2 linked regions of the Xenopus tropicalis genome follow. The protein of the gene in region 2 purifies or fractionates together with the protein of the main gene of each other region. This does not show direct contact. Links are inferred from orthologs where the notes say so. Each region holds a gene or a part of one and is shown on either strand. Other genes may lie near its edges. The genes, in order: lrrc59 and asph.

What was found.
Region 1: the proteins of asph (region 2) and lrrc59 purify together in Homo sapiens (co-immunoprecipitation; 3 studies listed by BioGRID and IntAct, with this or other methods). This does not show direct contact. The link is inferred for Xenopus tropicalis from reciprocal best matches to the Homo sapiens genes ASPH and LRRC59.

What each region holds. Positions count from the first base shown.
Region 1 is NC_030686.2:43,888,951-43,891,875, reverse strand, and holds the end of lrrc59 (leucine-rich repeat-containing protein 59), read right to left. Parts: coding exon 2,877-2,925; intron 2,789-2,876; coding exon 2,716-2,788; intron 2,633-2,715; coding exon 2,450-2,632; intron 1,806-2,449; coding exon 1,564-1,805; 3' UTR 781-1,563; downstream 1-780.
Region 2 is NC_030682.2:117,494,903-117,498,733, forward strand, and holds part of asph (aspartyl/asparaginyl beta-hydroxylase), read right to left. Parts: intron 2,003-3,831; coding exon 1,862-2,002; intron 1-1,861.

The sequences.
Region 1 (2,925 bases), on a different chromosome or scaffold from region 2:
TTTCTGATTAAACCGTGTATATTTATTTATTCAATCGGATTTATAATGATCAATGCTATATGTGTGCGCTCAGGAACAGTACATAAGAAGCTCGCAATAGGGAAAATGAACTGGGAGGAATAATTGGAATAAAGGGACTGATCACCTGTAAATTAACTTAGTAGTAACTTAATTAGTATGATTTAGAGAATGCTATTGCAATTGGTCTTTATTTTTCATTTGTAGTTTTTAAATTATTTAGTGTTTAGTAGCTTTCGAGTTGGGAATTTCAGCAGCTATCTGGTTGCTAGGGTCCAAATGACCCTAGTAACCAAGCAGTGGTCTGAAAGATTCTTGAAAAAACTACACCTTTAAAAGTGGTAGTTCACCTTTAAGTTAACTTTTAGTATATTACTAGAAAGGCTAATACTAAGCAACTTTTCAAAGGGTCTTATTTTATTTCTATATTAACTCTTTCCAGCTTTCCAATGGGGGTCACTGACCCCAGCAGTCAGAAAACTATTGCTCTGTTTGGCTACATTTTATTGTTACTGTTATTTGTTTAATTACTTAACTTTTTATTTGGGCCTTCACCTATTCATATAAAAGTCTCTTGTTCAAATCAATTGCTGGTTGCTAGAGTAATTTGGACCCTAGCAACCAGAAAACGGCTAAAATTCCATACTAGAGAGCAGCAAAATAAAGAGCTAAATAATTAAAATGCTACAAATAATAATAAATGAAGACCAATTGCATTCTTATCATACTAATCTTATAAATAACTGAGCCACAGGCAAGCCATAAACAAAACCGTATTTATTCTCGACTGCGGCAGATGGTCAGGCTGGTGCTGATGTACCAAATACACAGTATAATACATGGCAGTAACACATCGATACCATTGTGAATGACTTGAACAACCTGAAGCAGCATGGCACCTTGGGGTAGGGTGTCCGCCCTACGTGCAATGATCTTCTATTCATAGTATTAGGTTTTCTTCTGGAGACCAGCTCCACCCGTCCCTCCAAAGCACAATAGAATAAGGCCCAAAATATGGAGGTAGCTCCTCCCTTAATGGAAGGCGGGGCTCATGATTAAAAACACTTTTTTTTAGTTAACTCCTCCCCATAAGTAAAGCATGGCTCCCAAAACATGGAATTAACTCCACCCCCCCCCCCCCCCCCCCCCCCCCCCCCCCCCCTTTAGAGATTCGGGCTTCCATGGGGTCGTTCCTTTAGAAAAAGTCCATTTAACCCTTGGACATTTTCCTTTCTGAAATGTTGCAAAACCCTTTGGAACTCATAGGGATTAAAAAAAAAAAGAAAATGACATATATAGGGGAGCGGGAAACCAGCCACACCTAGGAGGGGTAGCCACCCCCTTACACACACACACACACACTCACTCTTCTTTTAATTAAACACAAATCATACATTTTTAGGAAGAACACTGATGAACAACAGGGCCGGGACCACCATAAGCCTCGACAAAAGAGACTGTAAACCCGATGGTGACTTTACAAATAGAACCGGGGGGGTGCCGAAGCCCCCCTACTTAATGCACAACTGAATTAAAATGCCCACGCTACTGTGAGGATGGGTCCTGCAGGAACCTTTCCAGCACGGGGTTACTGTGCAGAGCGCTGAGGGTCTCCTTATACACGGCATTCACACTCCTGCACACCTCGAAGGTCTTCAGATCTGTGAAGCGGCAGGCCACCACGCCCAAGAGCGCCACCATGAGTCCAAAGAGGAGGATGCAAGCAATCTTCCTCAGCCTTGACTGGCGTCGGGCCAGCTTCTTCTCCTTGGGGGTGGGCACTGGTTCTGCAAAGAGAGACACAGTCATATATAGCCTATCCTAGGGCCCCCATGTGTGGCTCAATAAGCTGCCGGCTTGGCCTGGAGAGGTAAAGTTAGTCACTTTTATTGGCCCATTTATAGCCAGATTTATTCCTAGCAGGTGGTGGTTTACCTTTAGTATGTTATAGAATGTCCTATTCCTACCACTTTTGCAATTGGTCTACATTATTTATTCATTAGAATTGTCAAATTATTTACCTTCCTCTTTAATATCTTTCTGGCTTTTTAAATGGGGGTCACTGACCCCGGTAGTGAAAAAAAACCTATTGATTTGTGAGCTTTCAATTTTATTGTTACTTTTTATTACTTATCTTTCTATCCAGATCCTCTCCTATTTAAATTCCAGTCTCTTATTCAAATGACGGCCTGGTTACTAAGGTAAACAAGACCATAGCAACCAGATAGCTGCTGAACAGAAAACTAAATAACAAAAAAAACTCAAAGAAAAAATGAAAATTGAGAACAACCCCTTTAAGACACAAAGGTTGGATATGATGGATGTAATTTTTTCAGGCAACACCATTCACCTTTAATCCCATGTTAAACTACAGTTCCTATGAGAAGACTGGGCAGTGGCTTTATATAATGCCATAGCCTTGGACACTCACTGTGGTTCTCGGAAGGTTCTTCCTCTGCTTTCTTCTTATTATTATTTAGGGCTTTCTGGGCTTCCTGCATGGCATTGTAATCCCTCCTCTTGCGCTCCTTCTGCTGCTGCTTCATCCTCTTCCTCAATTCCCTGTCCTGCTCCTCTTTAACCCTCTGCTGGGCTTCAAGTCTCTGTTTCCGATCTGCAAGTAAACCCAAGAGGTCAATATACACAGACGCGCTGACCAACGGCAGATATTCTGGTACCCCCCTGGCTTAGCGTTACCTTTATCCAACTGAAGCTTCCGCTGTAGCTCTCGCTCGTGATCAGACTGGACGCTTTTCATGTACTGTAGAACCTGCATTAAGATAAAACCAGCAAATCAGCTGCCTAAATGCCATTCCTAAATGTCATTAACAGGCGATTTATATTTTGCCATCACTTACCCCTTGGGCACACTCTTTGCACTGTTTTTCATCCAAACAATCGCCGGCT
Region 2 (3,831 bases):
GAATTATATTACATTTATGGAATTTGAGTGGAATAGCGTGCAATATACCATTTAACATTGCACTATGCACAACAGCATTAACAATAAAGTAATAAAAGCATTGAAAAAGGATGTAATTAAGTGAAAGAATATGCTTGGATACTGAGCATTCACTCTTAAAAAAATCTTTAGTCATGGTCATTGATGTATCAAACAATATTTTTTACTAGGAATACTCCAATTCAATCTTTTTAGCATTTGCCCAAACACATATATTCAGAGGTAATACTTTCCCAAAATCATAATCTACATATACAATATGATGTCCCCAAATTAAAGTAAAACTGTAACCAGCTCTCATTAGACAATATATCTTTATGGCTAGGTACGTGGCTGAATACATTTCAATATTGTTAGAAATATAGAAACTTAGTCACATTCTAGTCATTCCTATGGGATATTTTAAGTGTATTTATCAATAGGTAAAACTCACCAGTTGATAAACAGGCTTCTAAAAATGCTATAGAAATGAACAAAATGTGTATGTATTAAGCTTTAAACTCATATTTTGATAATTCTGCCCCATAGTGAAGGAAGCCCTAATCAAAGACTAATCAAATGAATACATACGAGATATGTGTTCACAAATCAATGTATGGGTTGGTTTGTGGAATATCTATTGCTTTATAGGTGCACATTTGGCAAGATACCCAAAGCATGCCAATCAAGCAAAATGCAGCTAGTTTCCCCATTTTTCACTAGGTTTTAAAGGAGAAGAAATGTCGTTTTGGCATTTTACTGCCAATAGGTTGGCCACATTAGTGCCACCTAGAACACTATATTTACTCTGCAGAAACCTTTACCATACCGGAGTAAAGAGCCCTAGAAGCTTTCTCCTTTTGTTTAAGACAGCAGCTGCCATTTTAAGTAGCTTCCAGCTACAGCTCTAGCTGTTATAGCTCAGATCACACATTCCTAAGGGATGGGAGAGGGAGTTCTCAGCATTCTTGTGGGAGGGGGGAGCAGAAGAGGGAAGAGAGGAGAGAACTGTGCAGACTCTGGCCCTGGAATGAATGATTTTTCTGAGACAGGAAGTCAGATACCCAAAGAACATGTTTACAAAAAGGGAGATAAGAAATCCTGCGTTTCTTTTGTTAGAGGACTCAGTGCAGCTTTTCTGTTAGTGCTTATGGTTGTATTTACCTTTTTGATAAAGATTACTTTGTTTTTACTATTTTTACTTTTCCTTTAAAAATAAATAAAAATTAATGTTTACAGCTGAGACTCCAAACACCAACCAAATAACTTATGCAATTTGTCAAATGTGCAAATAGACATTAGCTACTTGCTGAAGACAAAGGTTTAACTATAAAACTCAATTTCATTAGATTCCAGGCCTGCTGAGGTATGGGGGTGGGTGTAGACAGATTTTACCCTATAGTTCATACAGTCATATGGTTCAGCTGTACCAAGCCTCTGTTTAAAACAAATGTATATTGGCAATTAAAAGAAAAGTATTAACTGGTTATCCCTTGCTCCAATAATGGTAATCTGCAATTTAAGTGACAATGATAATCAGAAATGAACCAGCATTATCAGTATGGGCATGTACACTGAGAAACCTGGCAAAGAAGCTGCCGATTGTTAGGCATTAACTTTTCTTGGCACAATGTCACTGCTTGCCAAACTTATACTCACTATTTGCCCACTAATCTCAAAATCATGATTCAGCAAGTGTGCAAGCCTTTTTACACATGCTATCAATGCTAAGGATTCCATTTCTGATAAGTATCAGTAAGGAATCCAGAATATTGTAGTATTCTTTCAAGCATAATGAAATGATTCAAAATTTTAATACTGTAAGCGAGAGCACAATACTTACCAAGAACTTCTTCATAGTCTACAAGGTCAAACCACACCACAGCAACAGATGTCCAAACACCAAGGAGTGCAATCACCATAAACCATGTAAAAAAGGAGCTTCCGGACAAGCCTTCTTTCTTGCCATTTTTACCACCATTAACTGTTATAAAAGAATAAAAAACACATTTAATACATAGTTGTTTAAAAAAAATGGAAATCAAAACCTACATACTAAAGTTATTGATATACTGCATCAGACCTGCTTACGAAAGATTTCTGGAGAAGGTATAATCTATTGGCAAGTACCCAGTCTCATTAAAGAGACCCCTATTAAGAGACCTTAAAAATTTCCCCTGGTCTTTATGTACTAGCAGTACCTGAATTTGCCAGGTTCAAACCCCAGTTTGTAAAGAGTCATTTGGTAAAGGAATAACATGACAAACAGGGCATAGCCATTTATTCAGAAAGCATGTAAAAGCAAGTTGTACAGGAGAATTTTCTTTCGTGTTCAGATAAACGACACTAGCAAAACGAAACAACTATTTAAATCATTGTGAAGTAATAAAAAAGAAGCTATTTCAAGACAAATATAGCTCTTATAGTCTTATGAGGCAGAATATATGATATCCCCATACTAACAGCATGACAATTATATAATTATCTTGTATAATTTATTAATGTCCCTTTATTAGAAATGTAGAAATTACTCCAAAGACATGAAAAGGGGTATAATGGCTGGTCCAAATGAATAAAAGTACATTTCAGCATCCTGAAAATCCATTCTCAACAGAAGAAAAATGGTTCACTTCATATATGCTCTACATTTATCATGCTATAGGTGGACCATCTGACTTCAAAAAAAGCTTAACTGACCATAGAAAAAAAAAAAATCCAAAGCAGGAATGAAGCACAGATGCCGTCAAAATAAATATATTTTAAACGTATCCTCATAAAAACTTTTCACATAAGTTAATACAAAGTAATACTGTTTAGTGTTGTTTGCAATACAAAAATAATAGAGGTCCCCTAAACTGGTGCAATTTATATCTTTTACAAAGAATAAAAGCTTCATGCTGTGATAATGGGATTTAGAGCTTTACTGAATAATTTAAGGGAGCGGGCTCACTGACAAATATCTTAATGTCTATCAGAAACAGAGAAGGTCAAGTTCTGAAGCCAGCAATTCTTTGATTATTTCTGAGGCAAGAGGCTTCAACCCATACATGAAGACTTTGTGCACAGCAGGAGTTTCATAATGAGATGCTAAGCATTGGGGCATGTTTTAAAGTGTATGTATTTTTCATAATCTGAAGTATTCCCACTCATGCAGGTAGCCTCAAGCACTCGATCAGGGCTGCAGAATAAGAGGCTGGTCACAAGCACTTTTCTAACTAAAAATAAATGAGCATGCACAGGGCCATACACAGGGCAATATGAGCTTTAAAATACAAATGTGCTCGCCCTGGCCGATTGTATCTCTAATTAAGGATGACAAAGAACTCCTTCCTTGTGTTTCTGTTACAATAACATTTAAGATTAAATGTTATTTTTGTTTATTTGTTTATTTTTGTTATTTTAAGTTATATTATTGTAATGTTCCCCTTAATCAGCCTTGATGGAAAAGCAAGAGGGAGCAGAGTTGGACCTTGGAAAGGATCAGTTTAGGTAAGGGAGAATCAAGACAGAGATGAATGAGCGCTGTGTTGGAAGCAGCAATGTAGAATAAAGGAGCAACATTGGGTGTTTCAAGTTAAAACACAGCTGACATAATATCCAGAAATATCGTCATTCCTGAGAACGGAGTGCTATGGGCATGTCAAATTGTGTATTTTCACACAATACACCAACTGACCAATATACCCAAAGTTATTTCTATAATTGCCAACGGTCCTATGTACCACTGCCTTTAAAGTGGACCTGTCACCCAGACATGAAAATCTGTAAATTAAAAGTCCTGTTCAAATTAAACATGAAACCCAAATTCATTTT